2 linked regions of the Coturnix japonica genome follow. The protein of the gene in region 2 purifies or fractionates together with the protein of the main gene of each other region. This does not show direct contact. Links are inferred from orthologs where the notes say so. Each region holds a gene or a part of one and is shown on either strand. Other genes may lie near its edges. The genes, in order: GALNT2 and TGOLN2.

The links.
Region 1: the proteins of TGOLN2 (region 2) and GALNT2 purify together in Homo sapiens (affinity purification with mass spectrometry; 3 studies listed by BioGRID and IntAct, counting the BioPlex papers as one, with this or other methods). This does not show direct contact. The link is inferred for Coturnix japonica from reciprocal best matches to the Homo sapiens genes TGOLN2 and GALNT2.

What each region holds. Positions count from the first base shown.
Region 1 is NC_029518.1:36,126,739-36,142,567, reverse strand, and holds the start of GALNT2 (polypeptide N-acetylgalactosaminyltransferase 2), read right to left. Parts: upstream 9,209-15,829; 5' UTR 9,117-9,208; coding exon 9,000-9,116; intron 1-8,999. UniProt on the Homo sapiens protein: Catalyzes the initial reaction in O-linked oligosaccharide biosynthesis, the transfer of an N-acetyl-D-galactosamine residue to a serine or threonine residue on the protein receptor.
Region 2 is NC_029537.1:26,575-42,523, forward strand, and holds TGOLN2 (trans-Golgi network integral membrane protein 2), read right to left. Parts: upstream 6,507-15,949; 5' UTR 6,448-6,506; coding exon 6,336-6,447; intron 6,027-6,335; coding exon 4,690-6,026; intron 3,949-4,689; coding exon 3,865-3,948; intron 3,728-3,864; coding exon 3,722-3,727; 3' UTR 1,827-3,721; downstream 1-1,826. Other genes in the region: TCF7L1 (transcription factor 7-like 1), read right to left, coding at 8,163-8,536, 8,623-8,683, 8,926-9,033, 9,149-9,308, 9,606-9,749, 10,131-10,214, 10,447-10,549, 10,947-11,079 and 1 more. UniProt on the Homo sapiens protein: May be involved in regulating membrane traffic to and from trans-Golgi network.

The sequences.
Region 1 (15,829 bases), on a different chromosome or scaffold from region 2:
TTTCACACATCAGCTTCAGTACAAAACCTAAAGAGACAAACAAGTGCTACTGTTTGCTTGGCTGCTGCCAACTACTTTCAGTTGAAACGCTTCTCTCTGGTTCTAAATGCCTTTTTAATATAACTAGCAAGACCTGCAACATATGATGTGCTCATTAACCAACCTGACACAGCTAAGCAAATGGGGCAGAGGTTGTCTTTCACAGGCATCTACCCATTTAAAAGGTATTAAGAACAGCTCTTGAGAGTGTAGGAAGAGAACCAAGCTCCAGCTCTCTCACTACATTTGCTACCATTACTATTCCTCATCATCTCCTACAAGACACTGAATGAAATCTAGATGCTGCCATCAGTTGAACAAAACAAACAACATTTCTAAATTAACACTTGAAAAAGCACCAACCGACCATGTATCTGGGTAATAACTATTCTACACACTAGAACACCAGTTACCCATTTGTTAAGTCTAAATGACACGGCTCATTTTTCTGTCAGTGGTGTTTTATTGGCAAAGCAACAGGGCAAGAACCCAACGTATGCTGTGTTGTGCGAGCACAGGTCAGAGGATTAAAGAATACATGTTGTTCCCAAGTAGGTAATGCAGGAGAAAGCGAGCAGACTTGCTGTTAATGGACGGTCTGCTACAGTCTGAAGCATTCCACTGTAACACACTGTAACAGGAGAGCACCGTAACAAGGAGTTAATACACTGTCTGGACAACATATGCACTCCTCATTTCATGGAATACTCCAGCAGAAAATACTGTAATCCAATCGCCCCCACACTTTTGATAGGTCTGCCTCCCACAGTACTGGTTTTGTGAGAGGGACATTCCCCAGTGCTTGGACAAAGACCAGTAATCACAGAGGCCAATCCACCATTAGCTGGTAGCAGCTAGCTACCAAATGAAATACGGACATTTTCCTTACTGAGGTCTTAAGAGAACCTGGATGTATTTGAGTGAGCAGACTTTTCCATTTAAGAAAAGGAAAAAAAAGAAGAGGAAAAAAAAGTCAAGCTATATAAAAACTAGTATTTCACCTCACTAAAACGTACCCATTCCCACACACTGACCGTCCTTAAACCAACAGGGCAGCAAAAGCAAATTATTTTAGTAACCAAAAGTAATTTCAGCTGCACAGATTGTTTTCAGGGTGGTTAAACTTTTGAAACTTCATACGACGAGGAAACATTTTCTTCTCATCAAGTCATGGCTCTTGGAGGATTTGTTCACAATAGCATTAGCTCAGCGCCAACTTTTTGTCAGATCTTTCCCTAACTAAGTTCTTTTTGTTTCAAACAGCTCCTTTACTCAGTATGGACAATCTATTACAGTTTGCTAATGCCAAAACACAGTAGAATCTCTGGGTGCTGTCTGGAAGGTCCCTTCCAACCTGGGTCATTCTGTGATTCTGTTTTCCTTAAAGCAAGCGCCCACATTATGTGGTTACTTTACTACTTCTAAAAGTTATTCAATAGTTGAATCTGTAAACTTTTCAATAGGCTCTTCCTTCCATAAGAGATCACAGCTATAAAGATGACGAATCCAAATGATTGCTTTTGATGTATAGTACATAGTAATTTCTGTGGATATACGGAATGCTCTAAAATTCAGACTGTGTTCTTTTATTATCTCATTCCTTTTTCCATTTGAGTTTCATAAGCAGAGCTCAGAACTATTATGGGTGGGGATGGTCTCTTCATATAGATGGCCCCTTCAGATAGACTCTGCTCCGTCAGGTTGTTCAGGGATTCAAGTTAGTATTTTAACTCACTCAGATGACAATAAACGTACCCCAGCCAATTAACAAACCCAATGTTTAAAAAAGTGGTGAAAGTAAACAGTTTAAACATGTGGAAAAATAAAGCACTGACAGGCTTTAAACACAGCCTCTGAAAATTGCTATCATACGAACAAACTGTTACCAAACAAGTTAATACACTGAGAAGCCCCTCCTACAAAACCTACCGTGAATCCGCAAAGAAAACGCACTATATTCCAACAGGGGAAGCATAAGTTACAGCTATAAGAAAGAAAACAGATGTTGAATTTTTCGCTTTCATGATTATTAATAACTGCTGCAGCATTCAGTAAGTACTCCTGCTTCATTCATGGTAAGATTGTTTGGCAAAGGAACTCTTAGGAATGACAGGTAAGCGTGCACTCAGTGTGCACCAGTCACACAGTGATTTATCTTCCCTCCTCAATTCATCCCCTACTTCTTTAGAAGCAAAGGGAAAAGCAGATGAGCTCACACTCACTTCAAAACAAGCAGCATAAGAGAACACACTCAGATTTTAAAATTCATGTAGCCAAAGATGCCACCGCTTTGAATTACATGATGACAACACAACGACCTTATGCAACACCCACTCTGATATCCGGCTTCCCCCCACCCCAATATATGCAGGCAGTGACATTCAACTCCTTATTACTGAAGGAGAAAAAAAAAGATGAGAGTGTCTCACTACTTCCTGCAGATTCATTTTTAGAATCCAAGTCTATTGCCAACACATGGCATTGCCAACGTACTGGCAGTGCACTGCTCCTCCAATAGCTCCTACTAAAAATCACTTTTACTAACAAGCTATCAATGCCCAGTCCATTGAAGGAACATTTGTACACCACCTGGCTACACGCTGATGGGTGCCATTACAACTTAAACAGCCACCTGAGAAGGTTATTTAAGAAAAGATTTAAATGGCCCAAACCAACTTCAAAACACAAGCGAATATTTATCATTGGCAACGACTACCTGAGCAGCTTGAATTCATCACCTGAGCTGCACAGGATCAGTTGCAGCTTAACATTTTGTTTCCAAATAGATAAACTTTTACCCTATATTTCTTCACAGAAATATAAGTAGTTGCAAAAAAATCAAGTAAAACCACATTTTCTAGGCCATGCATAGGTCTTATTGCTGAAACAGTTTCCAGACATGCAACTAGGGTTACCCTCTCATCACAGCCAGTACAGACACAAAGGCATCTCTTCTCTGCAACAGAGCAGCATTGTGAGCAGGCTTTCTAGCGGATCATATCCCATCTCTTATCTGACCTCTCATCACCTGATAAACAGCATCAGTTACGCACAAGCGCTTAGATATCACGTCACGCAGGAAAGCAAAAGAGTGGACAAGAGAAGAGAAAAACAAAATGAAATAATCATGTAATGTTGAAGATAGGGATTGAAGTTCTCCATCACGTATCAATGTTCTACTTTTCTAGGCTGGTCTCAGGACCAAGCCATGACTATTTTGTTAGTCACAACTGAGATAGATATTGAACATTCTTTTTCTTAACATGAAGTCATATTGTGCTTTTTCTAAATTAGGAAAAAAAACAGTGTCATTATATTACATTTTAAGTTGTATTTTTGGAAGCAGCTGGAATACACTGAAAAAATGACTGACATTTGTTTACAACACATTTCAAACTGCATGACTGACAAGACAAAAACAGGTAGAATACGTGGCACTCTGTTCACTTTCTACTTAATTTTTTAACCTACATCTCTCAAAGGACATCATTATTAGAATTTACAAAGTTTTGTACGCTGAGATCACACTAAGAAACAAACTACAGCAGTGGAATAACACAGAGAAGCACAGCTAACTATTACAACAGTAGGAAAAGTGGAAAAGCAGCTTAACTACTCCATTAAGAGTAAGTCGTTCTTGTTTCCTCAGTCCCTTCCATCATCCCTACAGTCGTGCTCCCCTTCTGTTTAAGCAGCAAAAATAGATTCAACTGTTCAAGAGCAATAGCATCCAAACCAAAGCCAGAGTCATCAGTGATGATACACCGATGGGTGGGTTGTGGGGGATGACACAGCACTCTCATGTCTAAGAAAAAAAACATAAAAACCTCGACTTGGAAGCATTTCAGATTGCATGGGCGAGGAGAGGAAGAGCCTCACACAACCACAGACCTAGAGAAGCTGCACACAGTTTGCAGGTGGCTGCCTTCTCACAACTCAAATTCATGAAAGAAACAATCCACAAAGACAAGGCAGTAATTTCTCCAAGTGATATTTGAAATGAAGAAAGCATAGACACGACAAACTTCGGAGACTTCACATTCCAGCAAGAGGAGGACAGCTTTATCAAAGTGCCAAGGCATTTCATTCAGTTGTTATAGACTTATTTATAGCAGAAAAACACCTTTGGGACAGCAAATAGCTACCCGCTAAACAGCAGAACATCCTTTTCTGTCTTCTTGCTCCTCCTAGGAAGCAAATCCACGTGACAGCATGTCTTCATTTGTCTAAAGATCGAGATATTGGAAATCCTATCCAATGTGGCATCATTATAAGGCACTGCAGTTACCCTTAAGGATGCAATAAACTAAACTTTCAGTACTTAGCCATTAAAACTGGCAACATCTTCCTTAGACAAAAGGAGACAACAGATTTGACGTTACTTTCAGTCCCCTTCCAAAAAGGAGTTCTCCTGCCGTGAGGAAAAACAATCGAATTTGCACTCCACTGTTCCACTCTCTGACAAAAACTGGCTAATGCACCTACAGTTAAAACACACTTTCTTTTCCCTCCTACCTTAACCTTCAGAAAGAAGCTCAAGTGCACTAAGTCTGTCAAACACGCAGCTCCCTTTGCTCTCCTCCTGTCATTATACACACATAATGGTACACCTAAGAGCCTCGCTTAATGCTAACCGAAATAGTTTGTGTGTTCCAAATGGAGAAAAGAGGAAGAGAAGGATGGAAGGAGTTGTTAAAAAATTGTATCCTTGTAAAATCCCGAAGAAAGCAGCTGCCTTCATTTTCCCCCTACTCTCCCCAAATGACTGAGTTACTTTTAGTCAATCATTGTACTCCACATATCATAGTTGACCTTTGAATTTCTTCCGCCTTAACTTCATGGTACGGCCACTATCAAAAGCTGACAGAAGAAAAAAAAAGGAAAAAAAAAACAAAGCACTTCTGCTCCCTCCCTGCCCCAAAAACACACAAAGTCAGGGAACTGAAGGAAAAACCCCAGAGCAGCACAACACACTGGGTCGTAACCAGTTCTGCAGGAGCAGTCTGCCTCCCTGTGGCACAGCTAAAATCAATTCCTGCAACTCATTCCACTGCACCCAAAAAATCCGACAAGCCAGAAGCTTAATGGACCTTTAGTCCTAAGCATTACAGAGCTGGGTTTGTTTTTCCTTTTTCTCCGTTTTTGTTTGGTTTTGGAAAAGGAGATATAATGAAAAAGCAGTTTCTAATTTTAAACATGGCAGAAGTTATCCAGCTCTGATTACCTAATAACTGTTTTACTCTCTTTCTCTAAAGTGCATGGAGAGGAAGAGAGGAGGCACAGCAATGAAGGAAGCAGAAGAGGTCTACATTAAAAAACTACAACAACAACCCAAAACCACCACCTTCACATAGAAACAAAAACCAAAGCTCATCAGTGTGATCCAGGAGACACCAAACATTGGCTTCGGCTGAAGCTTTACCTAGCAGGCATCTCCTCTTGATGCCTCTGCTTACAACACACAGTGCCTACGGGTCTCCTCCAGGCTACGCCTATGAGGATTTCACTCTTGGCAGCAGTGAGGTGTTTGGTGCTTTCCTGTGTCCTGCCTGAAGGGCTCCATTCAGCAGGCCTACTGCTGTAATGCTTGGAAGGACAAGCTGTTTTGTCGTTTCATACCCAGTCGTCGCTCATTTGTGGAACAACTTAGTTGTTAAAGGACTCAAAACAAAATCTGAAACAAGTTAAATGATTTCCAAATACACGGGTTTTGATTCACGCCACTCCTTGAAGATTGGGGCGATATAACTGTGGGATATCACCGGGATGACTCCAGCTTGGGAGGGCACACATCACTTCTAACCACGCTGAAGAAGCCACTCTACTTTGTTCCAGGACACAGAGCACAAACAAACCCATTTGCTATGGGTTAAGACATTTGCCCACAAGAAGGAAAGTTCCAGTCTCCACTCCAAAGGCTGTTTAATATTAAGTACAATTAATGAGCACAAGAGCAACCCACGTTTTTCTCAGTCTCACAACTGCTGGGCTGGCAACTTGCTTGCTTCTATGTCACAGACTCTGTCTGAGGAAACTATTTCACTAACCATTAAACAAGTGAGACAGACTTACTCTTTCCAATCTACAACCCAGTGACCTGGCTGGACAAGGAGCAAGCTGAACCCCTGGTTCTCATACTTACAGTCACTCTCACTGGAGATGAAAAAGAATATGAAGGAGAAGTGATTCTGTCACCTCTAAGTACCTTTGAATAAAAAACTTCAACTCTGCCCCTCCTCTTCCTTTTAAGAAAAGAAGAAAAAAGTGCTCTCATACCTTAAATTCCAGAAGTGGAAGAAGTAATTTCATCCTACTACAGCTTTGTGCCTCGTTCCAAAACATGAAACATCTCTCCTGCGTGTTATTATTATTATCCACATATTTATTAATGAGACAGCTCTTACTTTGCGTGCTTTAGCTCCATTTGTGCACACTCAGCTCCCACTGCCTACCTAACCAGAGCAGCGCACACAGGGCTGTGGCTCCCACCACTGCTGACAGAGGCCGAATGCTTGGGCAAGGATACTGCATGCTGGAGCATCCAAATGGCTTGAAATGTTATAAATGAAGAACCAAAATATGAAGAAGTTGATATCAACTTGACACTCCTCTACTAAGAAAAAAAAAATAAAGCATTCATCTATCTTTCTCAGGTGCAATCCTGGAAAAGGGCAAATACTTTCACCTCTTCTAAAAGAAATGGGAATTGATGATGTCCATCACAGCACAGGGTGTCGTACCAAACAAGTCTGGGGTGTCCAGATAATACATCAGGTCTGAACATGGAAAAAAAAAAAAACACCCTTATGGAAAAACCATTCTGTTTGTCTAGCTAGATCTGTAATTAACATGCAAATTAGTTATTCACACAAATGAAGAATGATCCCCTTCTGGCTTCTGTAATTGTAGAGACTCAACAAGGCATAGACTTCAGTTTATAAGAAGCGATGCTCTTCTGTAAGCAACCCTGTTTTCATTGCACTGAAATAGTGGGAAAGCAATGAAAACTACACGAAGTCATACAAACCAAGAAATTTACTACAGCAGGGTTTCTGTTCATAAGTTTAAGGCAGTTTGCACTGTTGCATCGTACCAGGGTCTGACACTAAGTTAATAAGGCTTTTATTGAGATTCAAAAGCTATTACATTACACACATCTTCCCATACTTACATTTGCTAACCTACTCTGAGGCCCAGGATTAAATTTTACGCTTCGCTGACAGAAAATAGAATCCTCAATCACCAATCCACACATAATTGTTAATTTCCCCACTTGTTTCTCATGGTCACAGTACCTATTTTGTTCCTTACCACAACCTTAGTTTAAGCTTCCACATTTTTAAACCCAGCGTTGAGCTTCGGCTCACACATGCAGAATATCTCATTTACTTTAACTCATCTTTGCTAAAACTCTCCAATTGCCCAGATCGGTGAGGTATATTAAACTTCTAGCAGAACAATGACAAGTTATAAGGCTGAAGCAAGCATCTCAAGATCATAGATCTCGTCAGCCCACCACAGCAAGTTGTACTACTACCAATAAGGAACAGCAGCAGGTTCTAGTAGATTAAGCACCAGAGTTGCTCTCAGAAAAACTGGTTTCTGTTCTGTTTTATTCTCACCTGATCTTCTAGGTGACCTTGTGCAAATCACCATCCCCACGCTGCCGTTTCCCCAGCAGTAAAAATGAATTGAGCTCAACTGCAAATCTGACTGGGAACTCAAAAAGAGACATACCGGGAGTTAAAAATCTATTTCCCTATCTGCAGATATATGCGCCTTTGATAGCTTTGCTTTATCCCATTATGCATCAGCAGCAGCCTAAGATTGCTTTTAGTTTCTAAACACACTCTGGTGGTTCCTCAAGAGAGGCTTTAGGGTACTGCCTTACTTTTTATCTCACGCTTCATCTATTTCCGCTACTGTATCTGCTCCGAGAGCCTGTACGTAGGATACATGCTTTATACTTGAACATACTGTGTCGACAGCCACAGTCCTGAGGCCATAGGGGGCAAAGAAGAGGACAAGACAGAGCGTGGAGGTAGCCAGAGAGCAGTCAACTCCCCAGATCCCCGCTCACCTCAGTAACTCCTTAAGTCAGCATGCAAGCTCTGCTCCCACAGCTCGCACAGGAGCCAGCCAGATTTTCACTCGGAACACGCACACCAATGAGCATCAAAGTAACTGTACCGAGATCCCGGTGGCTGTGCGGATGGAGGAGCACGACTCCGCTCACCCAACAGCACAGTGCCATTTTTAAGCAAGCAGCGCAGCTCAGCCGCCCAGCGCCCAGCTCCTCACCCTCTGCCCATCTCTGGGTTGATCTGGGGGGATCTTTTACGATAAATCTCACTTCCCAGAGGCTTTGCCACACAGCTTCTGGAAGCTCCTGACTTAGGGGAGGCACATGCAAATCCACGGATTCACAGTCACGAAGTGAAGGAGTTATGGGGCGATGGCGCTGCCTCACACCTCGCCGTGCCACATAACACCGCTCTGACCCGCGCAGATGGGAACGGCGGAACGTTCGGTTTCCCTTTCTTTCCCTCAACGACGGACCATCGCAGCACCTCCAAACGCTCTCCCGGAACAACGCCGGGGGAAATGATAATTAAAACAATTAAAACACAACGAGGGGGGGGGAGGAAAGCCCGCCGCAGCCCCGGCCCACGATGAGCCCGGCTCTCCGGCGGCCAGCAGGAGATCCCCGGGCTGAGAACGCCGCCCCGCTGCCCCCCGGCCCGCGACGTGGCTCGGCGCGGTTGGGCGGGAGCCGGTCTCAAGTCCACCGAGCAGCCGCCCGCCCCGCGGAACGCAACGGGGGCGGGAGGAGAAACGTACAAATAAAGGGGAAAGGGTGCGGAGAAGCGGCGCGGGAGGGCGCTCCCCCCCCAGCCGCACGCCGCGGTGCCCCTTATCCCGCCGGGGGCTCGCAGCCGGGCACGGCGCCTCGCGCTCACCTTCCTGCCGCCTCCGCCGCCGGCCAGCGCGGCGCTGCCGCCCGAGTACATGTAGTAAGCGATGCCCAGCACCCAGAGGAAGGCGAAGCACAGGAGCAGCCGGGACCTGCGCCGCATCGTCCCCCGCGCCGCCGCCAGGCCACCAGGAAACGGCCAGCAGCAGCAGCAGCAGCAGCCGCCGCGCCCGCCGCCGCCGCCGCGCAGGGTCAGGGGGCAGAGGGCGAGCGCCCGCCCCGCCGCCAATCCCGCACCGCCCGGCCCCGCGGGGGGCGGGGAAGGGAGGAGCCGGCAGCGTCGCCATGGTTGCGGCACGCCGCGACGCCCCCAGCCTGAGGAGGAGAGCGCCGCGCATGGCGGGCACAGCCGGGCATGGAGCAGTGTAATTCACAGCGGTATCGGCAGCCCAAGGCTGTCAACGTGCTGATAAACTCCAGCTGTGTCATCGGCTGGAGGTGAGATGGTGAAGCAGTTCCCCTGCTGCGTGGGGACTCCTTCACCGGCCAGATGTGCACTGTTCCTTCTATGGCTCTGCACAGAAAGCATCGCACGCGGATGTGTCAAGTACTCGATTCTGGAGCCGTAATCCCATTTAACCTTACACATTCTGCAGGCCACTTACTCTTCAAATGCCTTGCAAAGCCTATGGAATCTTTTTTTGCCCTTTTCATAGTCTAAAAGATGTTGAGACGGCCTTCAAAGGTCCTCCTGAAGCCTCAGGTAATTTCACTGACTTTAGCAATGTGCTTAGATAGACTTTTTTCCCTTTCCAGCAAAATTAGCCAGCCAAGCATGTACAGAAAATCCTTCTGTGGCTGCACACTTCACAAGCTTACTGCAATAATCCACTGCACATGCCCAGTCGTGGTTTTCAAAGGCTTATAACTCAGCCAAATCAAAACTAATTTCCTCTTGAACAAGCAAAGGCACATCTACTTAAAGGAAGGCTACTTCCATGTCAGAGTTCACTTCTCAGCCTTCTACTGATAAAGCTCAAGAAATGCTGTAAGGATCTACTTAGCTCAAGAAACTTCCCCCTCACAGAATCACAGAATGACCCGGGTTGGAAGGGACCTCAAGGATCATGTAGTTCCAACCCCCCTGCCTGGCAGGGCCACCAAACATACACATTTACTAGATCAGGTTGCCCAGGGCCCCGTCCAACCTGGTCTTGAACACCTCCAAGGACGGGGCACCCACAACCTCCCTGGGCAGCCTGTTCCAGGGCCTAACCACTCTCCTAGTGAAGAACTTCCCCCTAACATCCAACCTAAATCTTCCCTCTTTTAACTTAAAACATTTCCCTGTGTCCTGCTGTTGTCAGCCCTTTTGAAGAGTTTACTCCCCTCCTGGGTGTAAATTCACCCCCACCCCCTCCTGATATTCTGAACTGGCTGAACCAGTTCTGTTCAAATCCTTCCAAATTACTCACATTTGGAAAAAAGCCCAAAAAGCCGGAAGATTTCCTTCTGAAGTACTTGTATTTCAGTGACCACAGGAAACACAGAGGTTTGGGGTGGGAAATGTTATATAGCTTTAAGTCTAGGAAAAGCTGCCTGTTGTATTACGACACGTTTGCATGCACATACCTCTTTGCCTCAGAAGTCCTGGCGTGTTTAGTCAGCAAAGCAAATCAGACACACACAAAAGAAGAAACAAAAAGACACACAAAAAAGCAACCTTCAATTAAAGGAAGGAATCGGAGACAAAAAATGTAAGACATTTAAAACTGATTTTTTTTCTAGCTCGTTTCAAAAGAAAATATTAGCATATTTCAAGAGCAGCATTGCTAGAGTGATTCACTGAATCCAAATGCTTCTGTATCAACCGCGGTGCTTTAAACAAAAGGGAGATCAATCATGTGAGAGTACAAATAGGGGTGAAATTTGCAGAAGGAGTCATCAAAACTTTTCCTTTGATCTGTAATGCGGCACCTAGATTCAATGGGCCGAATCCTGCTCTGCTTAGCTAGGGCGTAAACCAGAGGTTATTCTGCCACATGCACTTGAGAGCAGGTATGGAAACAGACACAAGTGAGATCAGAGGTTAATTCAGGGTGTCAGCATTCACCTTCTTGTAACTAAAGACCACAAACATTGCTCATCCTTTTCTGGAGTGAAATGACCTAGCCTGAGGTAAATGAATCCTCCAGCAGCGAGAACAGAAAGCAGTCCTACTCTCTAGGAATAAGCAAGTCCGTCCCTTACTCATGCACACAATCTTGCCCCTGGAAAGATGGGAGTGAAGAGTATCAGATCAGGTCTAAAACCCAGAAAATAGGCTTTAAACGCTTTAAAAGGCCCAGATTCTGACCAAGCTACCTGAACCTTTTTGGTATACAGAAGCTAACGCACATAGTTGATCCATTTCAGATTATATTGTTTCAAAGCCATACAGTTATGTCAGAAGGTGTATTATTCCCTCTCCCTCAAGAAAATGGTTACTCGTTAGCCTGATGTAAGACGTGCTATAACACAGAAACCGCATATTAACACGAGATGTAAAATACATCTGCAGGGATAAAGGTTTATTAATACATAGAGAGCTTGAGCTGAATACTCAGCCCGCTCCGAGTTTGTGTTTGTAGTGAGAGAATCGTGTTTGTAGTGAAAGATCCTGAACCTGCAAACGTTTATGCAAATGTTTAACTTCATTCAGCACATATTCCCACCGGAGTCAGTCAGACTACTCAGATGTTTAAAATTATACGCTCATGGCTGAGTACTTGCAGGATTAAAGGTTAAGTGCAGCTAACAGGTCTGAAAATCTATGTGGGTGTTTTGCAATTCCTCACTGCACAGTGGTAACAATGAGACACAGCCTACCTCCTTAGTAAAAGACATGGGAGTCAACGTGTCCTTTCCCATCTGTTAAGATGACAAGAACTGTGTTTGTTTAATTTTTCAATGCAGTTTCTGATGCTACCCAGAGTAGGCAGACGTGCTGGCAACAGGCTTCTGGAGTGGCTCACTTCCAGAAAATCTTGTTACCCTCCAAGAACGCTGTTGGAGCTGTTAAAACCCCAAGAAGCAAATATTGTATCACGCAAGTTTTACCTCGAGAACAGCGTGTCATCCTGCCTGACCACAGAGTACGCCCTGCAAAGCCGGAGTACTTTCAGGTCCATTAGAGCTGAAATTCTCTCTCACTGCAGACTTTAACATCAATAAGGCAGTATCTTTGCTTTTAAAGCATGAAGCAATCACTATTTCCCCTGGAAGCAGGGTTTTTTTATGCTGTTTCCTCACTAGAGAACAAACCATGCATTCCATCATGAGATGTAGGTAAAGCAAATGCTGTATTTTCTCGCAAAGGTTTACAGCATCACCTTAAGCTCATGTGCTTCCGAGGCAAATAATCCAAATCTGGAAGTTCTTCCTCTCTATTAAATTTGAAAGTTCAACATTCCTTGAAGGTTTTTTGTTTGTTTGTTTTATGAACAGAGGAAATGGACTTTTCCCCTGTGGGTGGTGAAGGCTAAACTGGTTTTGGCTGAGACAGAGTTAACTTTCTTTCTAGTAGATGGTTCAGTGCTATGTTTTGGATTTAGGTTTTAAGTACGTGTTGCTAACAACCATACTTAAGTTGTTAAACTGTGCTTACGCTAAGCTGTGGACATTTCAGCTTCTGGTTCTGGGCTGCCAGCAATGGGCTGGGAACACACATAGAGACAGGGGGTGGGACAGAGTCAGGACAGCTGCCCCAAACTGGCCAAAGGGATGTCCCATATTATACAGGGTGATGTAGTACAATAAAACTGGGGGAGCTGGCTAAGAGAGCTGCCACTACTGAGGAACCAAGTGGGCAGAGTGAAAGCATGGTGAGCAATTGTTGTGTGCATCACTTGTCTTGCATATTCTTCTGTCATTATTATCATCACCCTTTCCTTCTATGTCCTCTTAAACGGTCTTTCTAACAATCCACTAGTTTCACTATTTTTCTACTTCTCTTCCCCCAAACTGCGGTGGGAGGACACAGCAAACAGCACCATGGTGCTAAGCTGTCTGCCAGGTTAAACCACAACAAGACAAAGAAAGAACAACTCAGCCTTCCGTAGGCCTCCTGCTAAGGATGGCAGCAACCAGTACAAACTACAGATACACTGCCAACTATTCTTCCTGAGCTGAGTCACTTAGTGAGTCGGACTGAACTTCAGCAGCACACACACACACACACAAAACCCCTCTTGCAGCATTCTGGAGGCTGGTGATCAGATTTCCAAATGTGATATGGCTCAGAAGCATCTCTCACAGGAGAGTGATGATAGGTGGGTGACAATCAGCTGTGGAGAGAGACTTGCTGAAGCAATGACCTCACCTTTGATTGGGGTAATTTGAACCCCATTCATTGCATTTATCTGAATTCTCAGGGTCATGCTGGATTCCTCATTGCTGCCAGGGACTGTGAAGACTGCCCTGCCTCATACTGTAGATCACCAGGAAATTCCTCTCTTCCCAAGCACTTGTGTCACAGTGGGATGCAGCCATAGCACTATATACTAGCACCTGAGGCTAGGGGTGAACACAGAGTGCTAATGCATACAGCAGTCTGGTTTTGAGCAACAAAAATGGATGTGAACTCTACACACAATGTCTCTGTAACCTCAGCTGGTGTTTTATTTGTTCAAACTTATCACCCAGATCAACGTGAGGCTACCCATGATACAGAAAAAGCACAGAAACTTCTGCTAAATCAGCTGACAGCAAAATTCCTGGAGAACAGGAAAGAGGTTTCCCCAACTCAAAGCATTCTGCCAGAAGCAGCTTTTCTCATCTCTTTAACTAAATCTTTCCTAGCTAATTGCACTGACACCAGCTCACCACATGAGATACAAGAGAATGAAGAAGACTAAACAGAAAGAGGAATGAAGGAAGACAGGTAGGAAGGGAGCTCAGTGCACAAGGAAGCCATGGAAGGCCTTCCCTTTCAAAATCACAGGGCTGTATTCACACTATCTGCCTGCAGCATCTGTAGTGGGGTGAATGGTGATTCAGATGGCCTGCTTCCCAGGATGTCAGACCCTGCCTTCTCACATAGACAACAGAGAGAGGATGATGCTTATCAACTACCTAATATAGGTGCCGTAAATGCTTCTCTTCAGTGACTGTACACATTTCAGCAGAGTAGGGAGAGCAAACCTTTTCTTTCTATATAATATTTCAGTTCCATTGGGATAGTGGAAAATACCTCCTTTCTTTGTCCTCACTTCCCTTATGGTAGGCATTAAAAAAGTGATTTCAGCCAGAGCCACTGAAAGCAGGTCTCCCGCTTCCTAGAGAAGCACCCTAATTGCTGACAATGACAAGGTAATTCCAGAGGTGCCATAGCAGACAGGCTGAATAGAGCTCAGATGGTCAGAAGGGGTGCACATTCCCAAAGACTCCTCCATGTTTGACAAGTGAGACTCACCTGCCGTAGCACCATGCCTGCTTTTCCCTTTACAAGCACAGCCAAACGAATAAATCCCAGTGATTCATTTTTATCGATACTCTAGATTGTACTCCCAGATATTGCTCAAGATGATTTTGCATTGTGCAATTAAAAGTCTCTTCCCACAGCACATTAAAAACAAACATGCCATTTTATCCTGGTCTTTTGCATACTTGCCAGTTCATAAAACACGGTGTTTAGATCTCACAGTCTTTATAACAAATTACATGGGTCTTCTGTATCACGCTTAAGAGCATATTTTGTGTAAGGCAGAAGAGATGCTCATAGCTGCTTCAGTTCACATACTCTGTAGAAGTCATATATTGATCTTTCCCAAATTTAATCTTTCAGTACCTTGGAACAGACAGTAAATAGGCTCGCTCACCACAGGGGATGGAAATTGACCCTCCCCTTTGTAGCCTTTGTGACCCCTTTTGGCTTCAAACCTTTATCATCATCTGTTGAAATCACAAAAGAGGTTGTTTCTGAAAACAGGGCTGAAACCAGCAAATCATGAGAAATCACTTCTACAGTGTTCCCCTTCCCGTGGCAATAGCCAGATCCACCCTCCGTGTAACACTTCTGAACCACGATGAACTTGGCCCCAGCATCTACCACACAACATAATTCAAAAGAGAAACAAGGATTGCCCCACAGAGACCATGTATTTTCCATGCCCTTTGGTCTTTCAAGAGTTTCAGGTAGGGTAGCAAGTGTTTTCTTCCAAGAAGACAAACAGAAAATAAAAGACCATTCCATCATGTTTTTATGAGCTGAAGAACTGCAGGTCTGTGAACTGATGCTACATCTTTTTTCCTTTCTCATTCTACTGCAGCACCGTGCGCTGTTTTATCTGGCTTTCAAAACTCTGCTGAACTGAGAGAGACGTGAACCACATGGAGAGATGGCCAGATAATGATTTGACTTTTACTTGTAAATTAGATTCTTCCTGCCCATATGGGTGTAAATGAGGCCTTCTCAGCTGAAATCATATTTTTGCAGTCAAACTCTCCAACAAGGTTATTCCTTCTACAAGTCTGAGAGAGATACCTGCTCTAGCTGTCATCTCACACGCACTGATGTAAACTGGGCACCAACTCTACAGAAGGCCACTTCTCTGCAACAGGATGGAAGTGGTGTAAGTAGAGAAGATTAAGCAGCTTTCTTAGTGAGAGCATCAGAAAAGAGAGGACATGCCCTCTTCTTGGGCACATGCTAACATATCCTGACTGTGTTAGGACAGCCCACCACAAGAGACCTGTCTACACGCTGCAGCCTTCCACCATCGCTGGCTGGTGAAGGAGAAAATCCCACATTCTAGGAAGCACTCTCTACTACAATGCTGGGAATTGGGAATGCTGAGATACTGAACAAGAAAACTGCTGTTTCTGATTCCCCAGCTT
Region 2 (15,949 bases):
AAGCTTCACATGGAGCTGGTATCTGCAGGGTGGTGGAAGCTGAGGAATGAACCCCTCCCTCCGCACACAGCCACCCAGGTGGCACTGGACCGGTTTTCCATCAGTTCCATTTACCATCAGCCCTGCACAATGCTGGATGCACAATGCTTATCACCCCAGTGCTGTGTGAGGAAGGAGAGGCCCTGGGCTCTGTGCCCGCGTCGAGGAGCCCGGCTTCAGGGATGGATTGCGCTCAGGGTGGATTGACTTAAGGCAGTGTAAAGCTGCTCAGGAGCAACAGCGGCGCTTCCAGATGGGATCTCACAGTGAATGCAGCCCTGACATGCTGCAGAGCTGTTGGTTCTGCCCTGAGCTGATGATGTGGCTGTTTGTCTGCTGGTTGTGTTCGGGAGCACAACCAAAGCCTTCACCACTGCTTTGGTGCTGGGAAGGGCAAGAAGGCAGGAAATAAAACTGCCTTATGATGGGGACAGTGTTCCTTGTGGTTGGGGAGCAGCAGGGTGCTGCTGGCACTGGGGCTGAGCCCAGGTCCCGTGGTTGGGGGACAGCAGCGTGGCAGAAGGCAGAGTTTGGGAAGGAGAGGAGATGCAGTTTAGAGCCGTCCTTGTGACTGTCCTGCATTGGCACAGGCCGCTCTGAGGCTGGAAGTGCTGTTTATGTGCCATCAGTGGGTGCCCCAGTGCCAGGCAGTGAGCACTGCAGTGCTGGTTCTGCTCTGTGGACTTCAGTCCGCATTAAAGACCTGCTGGGAGCCCATGAAGGAGTGGTTTTCCCATGAACAGGAACAGGAGCAGCCAGGACATGGAGGAAGTTTTATCTCTGGCACCACAATGAGCACAACAAAGCCTCCCCACTGTGCATGCATGGCTCACTCTGCACTCAGCCTTTAAATCTGTTGCCTCCACCCTGAGGGCCTCTCAGACAAACTCTGCTCCTGTTGGTATTTCTCAGCCATGCTCTGATAGGCCCTGCCCAGCCCTGTAGATAATTATTTGAGGTCAATTAGCAGGACCACTGCCCCGACACAGCCCTGTGCTCTGGGTGCTCGTATCACTGCCTCTTGCTGGGGGACCTCCTGAGCTGCTCCCTCCCTATGCACTCACACTGCCCGTAGGAAGAAAACAGTTTGGAGACCCCTACAGCACATCCAGGTCGGGGTGAGGCTGGGCATGGGGCTTAGAGTTGTTGGAGGAGTCCAATACTTGCTTCTCTGGGAAGTGACCCTGAAGATGCACACAGCAATGCTTTCACCCCTAGTAGGAAGGCTCCAGAGAGCACTCCAGTCCAACACACAACCGAACTGTCTCCATTTTCCATCTCCTGCTTTCACCACTGCCTCCCCCAGGCTCTCAGTGACCCGGCCAAGGGGGAAGAAGTAAAGAAAAAACCACAAATAACCCTCCCCTGCCCCCAGTTTGTCCTCCAGAGAGAAACTGGGGGAAAGTTTCTTGCACCCAGAAACCCTGCTCTGCTGGCAGCACCCTGCCCTGCATTCCTTCTCTCCCAGTTCATCCTAATGCCACCGAGCACTGAATGCTGCTCGAGGAGCCTCCCTGTGGGTGAAGGGGGGAATGCAGATCCTCGCCAGCTGGCTCAGTCTGCTACTGACCAAAGGCCAGTTGGGTGAAAGGCAAAGCACACGGGGAACTCTATAAACAGTCTCCAAGCAAAAGGCCATCTCGTTTCATTCCGCCTGCAGGGTGCTTAGTCATGTGAGGGCTGAGCTGGCATCCATTAATAGAGGCTCTGCACAAAGCCTAGAGCACAAGCAATGATCAAAGAGATTGGGGGGGGGGGGGGGGTGTTAAAGCTAAAGGGCTTAAAACTGTATTTTTTAAGTCATTTATTGACTTTACCACACAGCAGAAAAAAAAAATACAAAGAAATATAAAAATTCTGGTCCTTCAAAGCAAGTTGCGTTGCACTGCAGCAGGAAACAAACTGTGCGCTGCTTTGTGCCAGCAAGGCAGCAGGCCCAGGAGCAGCCCCACCTGGAGAGAAATCATGTACCCAACAGGTACCGTCCATTCAGAAATGTGCCATGGGCAAAAGGAAAAGGCTTCACACTCCTTGACCAGTTTGAAACACATTGCATAAAAAGAGAAAAGAAACACCAGGAGTCGATCCCACAGGTTTGAGGCAAGAGGAGATTTCTCCCGCTCTCCCTTTGTGCTGGAAAACCAGGACACAACTGTAGCCTTCATGGCCAGACAAGGGATCTTCCCTGCCCTCATCACCCTGCAGCCATGGGGAGGGTCACCCTTCATGCAGGGCTGGGGATAGGCAGCCCCTCCAGCCTCAAAGCAGGGACAGGACTCCTCTGTGCGGCTCTGGGTACACGTGTACCCATGTGAATAGCCCTCCATGTGTCACAGCCGTCATTTTCTGCCCAAATAGGATAAAAAACTAACTAAGAAGCTGGGCACTTTACACACATCCTTCAAAAGTGCCCTATCTTGAGTAAGTATCTTTGGAGCAGAACTACAAAAACAAGACCAGCGTAACAGCTACAGCTCAGGAATCAATACACTTTGCAGTCTTCAATACAACCAGTGCTAGTACATCCCAGGCCCTCATTTAAGTGCCCCACAGTGACGCTGAGAAAACAGCAACAAGCTGCTGGTGAGGTGTACATTCAATCACGTTAAACCCCATTAGCAGGCTGAGGACAGAGCAGCAGAAGAGCAGAGAGGTTTGGGAGCTGTGGGACAAACCCTCCCTCTCACAGGGCAGCTGCCTGGGAAACACCTTAGTGCAAGCGCTGCACCTTTCCTGTTGAAGAGCCTCAGTACTTGAGAAGAGGTTTGAATGACTGCAAATTTCATTCATCCCAAACACTATCACCCACTCTGCATCATCATGACAATGTTTTAACAACAGGGAAGAGTTACCTTTTTGAGGTTAAGTTTGCTCCATCACTGCAGCTGTATGGCACAGAACTTCGTAAGCCTGAATGGCTTGCTTTCGCAGCATCAAACTAATTGTCCTCATTAGTGCAAGCATCTCAGCTGTGAGGACCACAAGGGAACAGAGCCACGTGGAGCACAACTGCCATAGGGCAGGTAAGGAAGTCTAAACTACAGCCAGAGGGCAGCTCCAACACTCCCAGAGGAGTGCATTAAGGTGAGAATTGTTATGTGAAGCAAACATCACCTTCATCGCAGAGGAAGAAAAGAAATCAAAGCAGAGTCCTTGGCAGATCATTTCCAAGCTAGTGCAATCACGCTCCAAACTTCAGCATCCAAATGCAATGGACAGAGAAAGAGATTGTTGGTGCCTCCAGCAGGACAGTGCTGGTTACAAAGGCAGCTCTATGACTCTGAAAGGAGAGAATCAGATGGCTCATTTCGCAGGTGGATTTTTCTCAAGAGATGTCGGTACAGTAGCTGGCAAATCCCATTTCGTTTAGACATGAAAGTTCTGTCAAGTGCCAGAGCTGGCTTCTCTTGGGCCACGGTCTAGAAACCAGACGCCCACGCAGAAACCGATTCATTTTCAGGCCGCTGGGAAAGGAGAAACACATTTTAAGGAAGTGAGAAGTCGAACATTACCAAGGTGCAGGTGCAAAAGTAAAAGCATTTCCCCTTCTTCCTGTTCTCTGAGATCCGAAGACGACAGCAAAGCTATGATTCAGTGCTACAGAGGGCAGTTGATGGTGTCCCACCATTCTGGTCCCGTTGTCGCCAAGCAGCATTCTTCCACTGAACACCTGAAGAGGAATCTAGATCTGGAAAGGGAAAAAAGAAAAGCTAAAACAATGTGAAAGCTCACAATGGCTTCCTATCACAGAAAATAACTACAGATGCACGTGAATCCAAAGTTTCAAGGGGAAAACACGACGGACTTCTCCAACCCCCTCCTTACCTTTTGATCCAGCCGCTGATAATCGCCGGATTTGGGCCGCCGACCGCCTTTCGAACGTTTCCCTTCCAGGGCAAAAGCGATGATCTTTGGAGAGAGAGAGGCAGGACAAGGTGAGCAGGACAGGAACGACCACATGCAGTTTTTCTGACTTCTAACAGAGGCACTTTCTAGTGGGCCAATGAGAAGCATCACTCGCATCCTTCTAAAAGTACTTGAAATAAACATCATTTAAAAGCAGCTCAGATTGAAAACAGGAAATGATGAGGCTTTCCCAAACATGGCAAAACAGTTTTCCACAGAAAACAGTTAAGAAGTTGATCCCTCTCCTACCACAAAAACAGGTTTGCAGGAGGGACAAAAACAGCAGAAAAGATGGGCTTTATCACTTGGGCTGTATTCCCCTGTGCAGTGCTATTTAAAGGCGAGTCTTTCACAACCTGGTACAGAAAACTCATTGTCCATAAGAAACACAGAGCAACTGCACAGATCTTTTCCTTTTCTCCTCGCTCAGTTCCATTTCTCACTGCTGAAAATAACCGCTGGAGCTGAGGCCATCCCATTTCCATGGAGATCCAAATGCTTTCCTGGTTACAACACTCCTCCCTGCTCATCTCAAAGCTGTTGAGATCAAGGCCTCAAATTAAACACTAAACAAACCCACCCAGCAAGCAGGAGGCTTCAGCAGGAAGCAAAAGGCAAAAATGAGAGCAGCAAAGGGGAAAGATGTTCAGCCGAGCATGTCCCCACCTGCAGCACCGACCAACGACTGCGAAGGAAGCTTTTAAACCACAGGGGGGAACTTGGGCAAGGAGCAGAACCACTCACCTTCCGCTTGTTGTGATAGGCAACATACAGAACAGCAACAATAATCCCCGTGGTCACCAGATAGGCAAAGAAGTGGCTGTTCTCTGACTTCTTCCCTGGAGAAACAGGAATACTCTTCTCTCTCTCATTAAATGAGGCAGCACCATTACCATTCCTAAACCCGTTCTCTTCCTCAGGGAGTTCGTCACCATCTGGGGAGCCTTCTGTGTCATGAACAGATGAAACTGACTGTGAGGGCTGCCCATTATTTTCCACTGAGTCTTCCTGGTCGCCCTGATTGCTGTCCTGCATGTCGGTGCTGTCTTGTTGCTGGTTGTCGCTGCCTTGCTGGTCATTCTGACCGTTGGCATCGTCGCTCTGTTGGTCGGTCTGGCTGTTGGTGTTGCCATCATGCTGCGTGTTGCTGGGTTGCTGGTTGGTCTGGCTGTTGGTGTTATCAGGCTGCTTGTTGGTCTGGCTGTTGGTGTTATCATGTTGCTCATTAGTCTGGCTGTTGGTGTTGCCATGTTGCTGGGTGCCGCTGCCTTGCTGGTTGGTCTGACTGTTGGTGTTATCAGGCTGCTGGTTGGTCTGACTGTTGGTGTTACCAGGCTGCTTGTTGGTCTGGCTGTTGGTGTTGCCATGTTGCACATTGTTCTGGCTGCTGCTGGTGTTGTCATCATGCTGGTTGGTCTGGCCATTGCCCTTGTCAGTGTTCTCTTTCTGGCTGTTTTGGTTACCAGCACTGCCATTTTTCTGGCCACTCTGGCCATTGGTGTTGCCATTTTGTGTGGTCTGACTGCCCTGCTGGTGGTTACTTTGGCTGTCGGTCTTGGTGCCCTGATTGCCACTATTGTGGCTGCTCTGCTCCTGATCATCACCATGCTGGGTATTGCTTTGGCTGTCAGTGTTTTGGGTGCTGGGTTGGCCAGCAGTGTTGCCAGACTGTGTGCCACCGCTGCCACTGCTCTGGCTGGTGCCTTGGCCCCCACTGCCACCGTTGCCGTTGTTCGGGTTGGTGCCTTGGCCTCCATTGCCATCATTGCCATTGTTCTGGCTGGTGCCTTGGCCCCCACTGCCACTGTTGCTGTTGCTCTGGCTGGTGCTTTGGCTCCCAGTGCCATCATTACCATTGCTCTGGCTGGTGTCTTTGCCCCCATTGCTCTCTTCCTTGTCTTTATCGCCTTGTTTCCCTGTCCCTCCGGGCTGCGTCTCAATCCCGTTTGTGTTTTGACCGGCACCACCAGCTCCTCCCCCGTTATTTGTCCCTCCGCCGTCTCCATCCTGTGCCCCGTTGGATCCTCCGCCGCCTGTTGAAGTGCTGGATGGCTGCGTGAGCTCCGCTCCCTGCTCCCCGCCTGCCACAAACACACCGAGCCCGCAGTTACCACCCGGACCCGCAGTTCCGTTACCGGCTCCCGTTACCGCGCTGCCTCCCGCCCCGAGCGTCCCGCCGCCCCGTTAAGGTTCCGCCGAGCCCCGACTCCCCGCGGTCATTGACGCGGCGGTTCCTCGCCCCGCCGGGATCACTCACATCATCCACCCTCGGCCCGGCCGCGCTCACGGGATCCCGGCAGCTCCCGCGGACACAGAGCCCGTAAAACCCGGGGCCGTGGGACACGTGTCCGCTCCCGGCTCCCACCAGCTCCCCCCGCACCCCGCGCTACCTCCGGCTCCGGCCCCGTTACTGGTCCCGTCCCCGTTACTGGTCCCGTCCCCGGTCCTGGCGGCGATGCCGAGGAGCAGCAGCAGCAGCAGCGGAACCACCCGCAGCGCCATGCCGGCCCGCTGCTCTCACCCGGATACAGCCTGCTTCCGCTTCCGCTTCCGCTCAAAACGTCACTTCCGGCACGCGGCTGACGGCCGGCAGGGGCCGGGGCTTGTGTGAGTGGGCGTGGCCATGCAAAGCAGGGGGCGGGGCTCGGCGAGGGAGGGGCGCGCCGGTAGAGCCGAGTGGGGGCGATTTGGGGTCAAAAAGGGGGATTTTGGGGTCAGAAAGGGGGATTTGGGGTCAAAAAGGGGGATTTGGGGTCGGACCGGGCGCTCTGGGCCTTGGCGCTGCCCTTCTCCTCGTGGGACGTTTCCCCATCCCATCCCTGGGCACTGACTGCAGCCCACGATCCGCTGAGCGGGGCGGGATGAGATCGAATCCATCAGCAAATGGGAAATTAACGGCAATTAACGGGTACGAGGCGCGGCCTCACCCCGGTGCAACGCGACATCTGGCGGGACCCCCCCCCCGGCCCCGGGCAGCTCCTAATTAGCTCCATCTCCGCAGGGAGCTCATTAGGCGTCTCAATTAGTGAGCGGGCAGCGCAGCCCCGGGGGGTCTGTTGGACGGCGGCCATTAGGGATGGGATGGAGTGACCCAAAGGAAAACGGGGCCGGCGGAGCAGCGACGTGTCACCGCAGGGACACGGACGGCACGAGGCCGCTCCCTGGTGGCCGGGGACACACGGACACACGGACACACGGACACAGGCCGGGCTGAGCGGGACTCGGAGCGGCCGGGCAGGACGCGGCGCCTTCATATGAGCCGCCCCACGAGCAGCAGCTCCTCGTGCCTCCGTCCTCCCGAAGGGACCATCCGGACCCAGCGCACCCGACAGATGTTCGTGCTCCGTATGGGAACACGCCGAGCCAAACAAAGAAAGATTCTCCCGCTGAAGTCCAACATCTGTTTGAAGCCGTCTGGCTCCGGTCCAGACTTTAATTCTTGTGACAGGTCTCTTCATGCCTTTAATTTCCCATGAAATCCCATTCAAGGCGCTGCTCGGCCGCATCCTGCTCCTGGTGTCGGCTGAGTGGCTGCGGCCCTTTGCAGGACAGCGGTTTTTGGCTTTTCTGACCCAAAAAAAAGGTTTCGGCTCTTGGAGCTGCAGCACAGAGCAGGGCTCCAGGCTGACATCGGCAGCGCTCAGCAGTGCCGGCCTTCCTGCACGGACCACGCTCACGCAGCAAAGTTGCAGCTGTAGTTTTATTTTCTTCTTTTTTTTTTGTTTTGTTTTCTTTTTGTGAAAAATAACAGGGATTCAATGAGAAACCCCCCCCCCAGCCCCACCCCATGTCCCCCCAGCCCAGCACCGAGCTGGGGACGGGGTCCAGCTGTAGTGGGATGGCACTGGGGGCACTGGGGGCACTGGGGGCATCAGCACTGGATGCCCAGCCTGAGGAAAGGTCCTTTTTCTTTTTTTTTTCTTTCTCTCTTTTATTCTTAAAAAATATTAAAAAACACAAAAAAACATTTCCCTCCCCCTCCCCCCCCCCTTTTTTTTTTTTCTTTTTTAATAAAAACAGTCTTTAGGTCGACTGCTGGTAAAGGGAAAGAGCCTCTTCCTCCAGAGTCTGCTTCCCAAAAGACAAAAAGAATAAAACACAAAAAAAAACAGTTCAGAAAAGGTCAAATATTGACCAATAAAGGTTTGGCTGCGTTGGGAGTCGTGATTGTGGCGGCTGCGGTGCAGGGCGGTGGGGGGCTCCTGCTCAGCCCACCCTCAGTCGGCCGGTTTGGTGACCAGCGCGAGCGGCTGCGTCTGCTGCGGGGCAGGAGGGGAGGGGAGCAGCAGCGAGGGGAAGGCGATGGGCCGGGGGAGCAGCGACGGGGGGGAGCCCAGGGAGGAGGAGGAGGAGGAGGATTTGCCGGAGAGGAAGGCGAGCTGAGCCCTGGCCTCCGGCTTGGTGGTGAGCGACAGCGGCTGCGCCTGCTCCGAGTGTGTGGCTGCGGGCGCAGCCGGGGAGGCCAGGGCGGCTGACGGCGTGGCAGGTGAATCCAACATGCTGCCGTGGGACGAGGCCGGGCTGTCGCAGGGTTTATCGGGGGGCAGGTGGTGTGGGGCGCACGGCTTCTTGCTCCTGGAGGGCAGAGCACCTGCGGGGTGTGGGGCAGGCGCTGAGTGTGGGGGCAGAGGGGGGAACGTGATGGCCACGGCCGCCCCTTCCCCCCCGGGTACTCACTCTCTGCCTCGTGGCTCTGCTGCTGGGCCAGCTTCTCTCGCTTCCTCTTCTTTTTCTTGCCCTGTGAAATATTGCAAAGCACTGAGGTGTGATGGTGGGATGCTCCACGGGATGGACAAAGGCTGAGGGGGGGTGATACAACGCCACAGAGCAGCACATGGTGATACAGGGGCTCATGGTCACACTGGGGTCATGGTGACCCAGGGGGTGATGTGGGCCGGCACCGTGGTGTCCCCCCAGCTCAGCCCCACCACCCTCAGGCCTCCCAACCCCACTGAACTGGGGAATGTGGGTCACACTCACGTAGTTGTCGCGGGCAGACCACGTGGGGTAGAGCTGTGAGTGCAACTGCCGTTCCTTGCGTGCCAGCTCGTAGTACTTGGCCTGCTCCTCCCGCGACAGCGAGTGCCACTGCAAGGGGAAAGGACACTGCGGACCCCAGGGACACACGGCAGGCAGTGCCTGCAGGTCCCCAGCACAGCCATGTTGGTGTGCAGGCAGATGAAGGCACGAGGGAGACACGTACCCGTCGGCCCAGGATCTGGTTGATGGCCGCGCTCTCCTTCAGCGTGCATTCAGCAACGACCTTCGCCCTCATCTCTTTCATGTACAACATGAAAGCATTCAGAGGCTTCTTGATGTGGGGCTTCTTCTCCTCCTCCTTCTTTACTGTGATGGGGGATTTCCTGCAGGGGGCAACATGCAGGCTCAGCTCCATATCCCCCTTCCTATTCCTGTCCCTGCTGCCATCCTCATCCTCATCCCCATCCCCATTCCTGTCCCTCCCCACCCCATCCTATCTCCATCCCAATCCCAATGCCAATCCCAATCCCAATCCCAATCCCAATCCCAATCCCAATCCCAATCCCAATCCCAATCTCAATCCCATCCTAATCCCCATCCCATCCCCATTCCCATCCCCATGCCATTCTGTCCCCATCCTGTCCCTGTCCCCGGCACCACCCCCCCATGTCCCTACTCACGAGCTGCTGCCAGGGCTGGCGCTGGGCTGGGCAGGCTCCTGCTTCACAATGGGTGAGACGATGGTGGGGTGTGGGATGCCTGAGGGGTGCAGACCGTGGGTGGGCGGCGGGACCATGTGTGGGGAGAAGCGGCTGGACATCAGGCTGCAGTGGAGGGAGTGGGGTTGTCAGCCCTCCCACAGGCATCAACAACCCCAAATGTCCCCCCAAATCCTACTGAGGATCTCTTGGGATTAGAGACTCTTCCCCGAACTGCTGGGGACTTGTTTGTGGCTGAACTTGGCACCATAGAGCCAAGGGACATCACTCTTCACACACAGAGTCACCATGGGGCTGTTTCTGGCCAGCGTGGGCCAGTGCAGTCACCCACACGGAGCTCAGGGTGCCCAAGGAGGTCCCTTGTCCCTGCTCAGAGCCACGCGGCCATGGGGACACGAGGACATAGGGACTTACGAGGACATGGGGACCTACGAAGATATGGGGACCCACCTGGCCATGGGGACCCACCAGGGTGCAGGGACCCACCTGGACATGGAGGCGTTCATGGCGAGGGCGGGGTAGGGGTGCCGAAAGCCGCCGGGGGGGATGGAGTACATGGGCTGTCCTTGCCTGCAAATGCACGAGCTGCAGCAGACACAGGGACAAGCCCCCTCCCCACAACACCGGGACTCTTGGCTCGGTCCCCAGCCGATCCCAATGGGGACAACATCCCACATTTCCACCAGAGCACAGTCCCTCCCTTCCCCACCCCATCGCACCCAGCTCGCTGGGAACCAAGGAGCACATGGGGTGCATGGGCCAGGGACGCAGTGGGGCCGGGGCAGGAGGAGCCCATCCTTACTGCGGCACAAGCCAGCCCAGCGGGTGAGGGATCTGACCCACAGCTCCTGGCGACAGCGGGTAGTAGGGGGGCAGCTCGGGAGGGTGCGGCGGGCGCGGGATCCCTGTGGGGGGAGCAGCATTAAACCCACCTCACTGTGAGCATCCACCTCCCTACAAGCATCCACCCCCCTATCAACATTCACCTCTACATAAGTGCTCATTTTCCTGTAAGCACTCACCTCCCTGCATTTCCCCCATTTCCCTACGAACATTCACATCCTTACAGGCACCCATCTCCCTACAAGCACCCATCTTCCTAAATGCACTCAACCCCCTATAAGCACCCCTCTCTCCACGAGCGACCCTCTCCTTACAAGCACCCATCTCCCTACAAACACCCATCTCCCTATAAATACCCCTCTCCTTTATAAGACCCCCTCTCCATCTGAGCATTCATCTCCCTATAAGCACTCCCTTTAAACATCCCTCTCTCCATGCAACCCCTCTCCCCCCACTCACCCGTTTTGGGGTCGATGTCAGGTGAGAGATGCGCGGGCGGCGAGCCAGGAGAGAAGTGGTCATTGCTGTAGGTGATGAGCGGCGTCAACGGGTGCATGTGGGGCGCATGCTGCACCACCGGGACCTTGTTGGACTGTAGGGGATGGGAGGAAAGATACAGTGATCCACCCCAAAACACAGCCCCCCCCAAGGACACCTCCCCAAAACACAGCCCCTAGAACGCCACCCCCAGCTGAAGCTCTGTTTGCTTCTGTGGGGTCTGAGGCCACAACTCAGTGGGGTTTGGGGCCGTATCTCAGTGGGGTTTGGGGCCGCAGTCCTTACCAGGTGTGCGGGTGACGGTGAGCGGCTGTCCTTTAGTGTGGCCCCAGCCGGCACATCCAGCAGCGGCCACTTCATCTGCAGGTACTGCCAGAGCAAAGAGCTGTCAGCACAGCACCCCACACCCCACTGCACCCCACAACGCCCCCAACACCCACTGCAGGCTCAGCCCATGGGGCTGATAGCACATTGGGGTGCCTCTTCTCAGCCCCATCAGCCACCACAGCCCCATAAAAGCAGATTTGGGGGATGCAGCAGTGCCCATTGGGATGGGATCCTCAGCCACACTGTCACAGAATGTGAGAAACTCCCCCCCCAAACTCAACAAGGGCCGGGGGAGAGGCACGTATGGCACTTCTTGAGTTTTTTTTGGTGCCCCACCAGATCTGTGCGCTCCAGGCACAGGGAAAACATAAAGGTGCATTGTGTGGTGCTGGGGAATGCAGCCGGGATGGGATGGAGCAGCTGTGCCAGGAATTTCCCCACCAGGAACCGTCCTGAGCCTGGGCAGCTGGATGGGATGGGGAGGGAAGGGAAGGGAAATGGAGGGGAACGGGAAGGGGAGGGAAAGGGGAAAGGGAAGGGGAAGGGGAGAAGGGAAGCCCAGCTCGGCTCTAGGAGCATTAACTCTCCCACGACTGGAAGGAAGCAGCCCCGCCTGCATCCCCATCCCCCACATCCAGCACCTCTGCTCCATCCCCAGCATCCCCACTGTTCCCAGTTCCTTTCTCCATCTCCAGTATCCCCTGGTGCTCACAGGAGCTCCTCATCCTCTGAACACTGCTGACATCCCCAGCACTCCGCTCGGGCCTCCGGTATTTCCCCTTCGGGCCAGGACTCCCCATGTCCTGTATCCCCCATTCCCAGTACCTTCCCTCCACCTTCAGTATCCCCCATCCCTTCCCAGTATCTCCCATCCATCTCCAGTCACCCCATCTCCAGTGTACTCCATTCCCAGGTGGAGGTGACAAATGAGGGGTCCCTGTGCCCACGTCAAAGTAACACAGGGGGTGTCCCCATGTCAGGGTGACACACCAGGTGTCCCCATGTCCGTCTTGGGGTGACATGAGGTATCCCTGTGTCCCCACATCCACACTGGGGTGACACACCGTGTGTCTCCATGTCCACGTCCAGGTGACACAGGAGGTTCCCCTGTGCCCACGCTGAGTTGACACAGGAGCTGCCCCCACGTCCCCACGTCCACGTAGGGGTGACCATTCAGTGCCTGCTGCGGCCCCTCACCCCCCGCCACCCCCCGCCCATCACAAAGGCGCTTTCTGCTCTATTCTGTAAGCGGAGAAGCCGCTGGGGGACGGCGGCCGGGCAGAGCTGTGTATAAAAGGCTGCTTCTCATTTGGAAGCAGCTTCAGGAGGCCGGGGAGGGGAGAGGAAGGGGGACCCTTTCAAAATATACAAAGAGGGGGGAGCTGGCGAACGGTTCAGTGCTAATGTGGAAAAATGAAGCCCCCCCCAGCTCCCCCCTCCCACCCCCCAGCCCCGGACACAGCTCCCACTGTACGGCCACGCGTGGGGCTGCGAGCAGCAGATTGGAGCTATTAAAAAAGAAAAAAAAAAAAAAAGAGGAAAATAGTTGAAAATCGGTCACATTCCAGAGAGATTAGAGCAAGTTCTGGTTCCTCGTTACCAGCTCCCCCCCCACCTCCCCAATTAAAACCAGGGGGGTTAACCCCTTCCCTGCCGGACTGCAGTGCCACTGTGAGCCCTCCCATCTGCCTGTGTCTGTGTGTCTGTCTGTGTGTCTGTCTGTCCCCCCCCCTCAGCAATGGGAGTTGGGGAGGGCTGTGCCGTGTGGCTGCGGTGAGCTCGGGGAGGAGGCGTGAACGCTGCGGGATCCCCTAATGCCCAATTAGGGGCTTTAATGAGCGGATTTCCTCCCCTCTTCTGCACGGGGTTGAGATGTTTTCCTTGGGAAAGGGGGGAGTGGGGGAAAAGCCCCACTGCGTGGTGGCACCGAAGGGGGGGCACATCCCACTGCCACAAATCCCAGACAGCCTGTCCATGGATTCCACATCCCAGCACTGTGTATCCTGGTGCCACCCACCCCAGCACCGTGTTCCCCAGGAGGAGCTGCTCCCAGCTTCCCCTGAGATCACATCTCTGTGTGCTGCTGGAGCCAAACTTGGTTGGATTTATCCCAGATGCTACACTGGGAATAGGGAATATCGGCACATCGCGGTGCTGTGGAGCTATGGAGCCCTGGCACTCCAACAGCCCACGTCCCAGTGTCCCAATGTTACACATCCCACATCTGGATGTCCTGGCATCACACATCTCACATCCCATTGTCCCAGCATTGCACAACCCAACATCTCACATCCCAATGTCCTGAAGTCTCACATCCTACATGCCAATGTCCTGGAATCCCACATCCCGCTGTGAGCACCGTGCACCCCACGTCCCAAAGCTGCAAGGCCCTGCAGCACCAGACCCAGCTCACCCACCACCACAGCCTCTCCTTTTGGGTGAGAAGGGCTCATTTTGAGACCAAGGCTCTGTGCTGCATTACCCACCCCACAGGATGCAGCCCACACCACTGCCCCCACGCCATCCTCCTCTCAATGCCAGCACTGCCATCCAAGCAGCCCCTGATGCCTCCAATTTGGCTCCTTTTCCCCAAAACACATCCCGATGCAGCGCAGCAGGAGCTGCACGTTGGGTTGCATTGAGTGTTTCGCAGAACCCCAAAAATCTTTGCAAGGTGGGACGCTCTGACCCTGCAGCACTCCCAGTCCCCAGCACTGGGAACAGCTGGGGTAAATCCAACCCAGTTTGGCACATAGGAAATGCAATTTCTGAGGGCTGTGGGTTTTCCAGGGGACGCCTTGTCTTCAGTACAGATCCCATGGCACTGGGGGGGGATCCGGAGCATCATTAGGACGTCATGGGGCAACACAATGCCTGAGCACCCCACGGCCTCAGCCCCACACACATCCTGGACCCCTAAACACCCCTTTTTCTCCTCTCCCCCACCAGATAACCTCAGTGGCAGCAATTCCCCGCCACCCCGGGGCTTTGTCTGTGCCCCGTGAATGGCTCCATTCATTCACCCCGCACTCACGCGGCCACAACTCTGTACGGTGCTCAGGCTCCGGAATCCCAAAGTGTGGGACCGAAAGGCACAGGGACACTGGGAGCAACAAGGCTGAATCTCAGCCCACCCCGCAGTCCTGGGTTTGGGGATGGAACCTCTGAGAACAGAGTCTCTACATCCTCTGCTCTGGGATGGCAGCTGGGAGCACGGCATCACCTGAACCCACAGTCCCCACCTGTGGGCCCACATCAACATTCCTGAGGTTTGGGAATCCCAGGGTTCACGATTCCCAGCGTGTGGGATCCCCGGGGTGTGTGACTGATGGGATCGCTGGGGCTCAGGCTGCCCAGCGGGTGGGATTTGCTGGATTCTGGACTCTCAGGGATCAGGTTTCCCCAGGGCTGGGGTTCCTGGGCTCAGCGTTCCCAGCACGAAGGACCGTCAGGGTGTGGGATTCCTGGGAGCCACTATTCCCAGTGCTCATGGCTCCCAGCGCCTGGGAATCCTGGGGCTCAGCCTTCCCAGGATCCAGGACCCCTGGGAAGGCTGAGCTTCCTACAGGTGAGGATTTGGGATGCCCTGGGGCTGAGGATTCCCTTGCTCTGGATTTCCAGGTTTGGGATTCCCTGTGGCTCAGGACTCCTGGTGCCCCACACACCCAGGATCCAGGACTCCCGTGGCGCACACACACATCCCTGCAACAAACACCCCCAAATGCTGCACACTGTGCCCATCCCCTTCCTCCCTCCTCCTCCCCCTGCTCCGGGGCTGAGCACCTCCCTCCCTGTGCCCCGTACCCCTCCATCTCCCCGCAGCCGGGATGCGCCGGGCGCTGCTCCCCGCGCTGCTCCCCGCTCCTTCCCTCGCTACCGCCCGCGACTTCAAGGAAGGGACGTTAATGAAAAGCAGCTGCTCGGAATTCCAGAAAGATGATGAATGCGCATTAAGTCCCCCAACAAAACCAGGTCTTATGAGAGTCGCCCGGAGCACTTACTTCATTGCTTTAATTTGGGAATCGTGTTGGAAAAGGGAGGGAGGGGGCGGAGGAGTTTAGTGGAAACCTCCTGTAGGTCTCATTTAAGCCAAAAAAAAAAAAAAAATAAAGAAAAAAAAATGCGGGGTAATTAGCCGAAGAGCATAATTAAGGAGCAGACATAAAGGGCCCATTGTGTGCCAAGGGCTGAGCGCGAGGTGCTGCTCACAGGGAAACCGAGGCACAGCACAGCAGCACCCAACGCTCAGCTCAGCGCCTGCAGCCGGGCTGGGGGAGAAGGACCCGACTCCTTTGGTGCCCAGCGCCCGACCAGGCCGAGGTGGCAGCGACCCGGAGCGGCACAAACCCCAACACGGCGCCGGATCCCGCCGTGCAGCCCCGTGCCAAGAGCTGGGGTTGGATCATTGTTCTTGGCAACGCGGCCCAGGGCAGATATTTGCTTTTGCAGACAGATCTGCCTCTGTGGGGCAGCCTGTGAGCAGGAGCATCCCGGGAACAGCTCCCAAAAGAGCCGAAATCAGCCCCAACCCTGAGCTGCTTCCCAAAGCCCCAAAGGGTCACCACTCAGCTCCGAGAAATGGACGGAGCGATGGGATGGGGTCAAGGCTTGGGGTCATCCCATTCCCAGCCTCATCG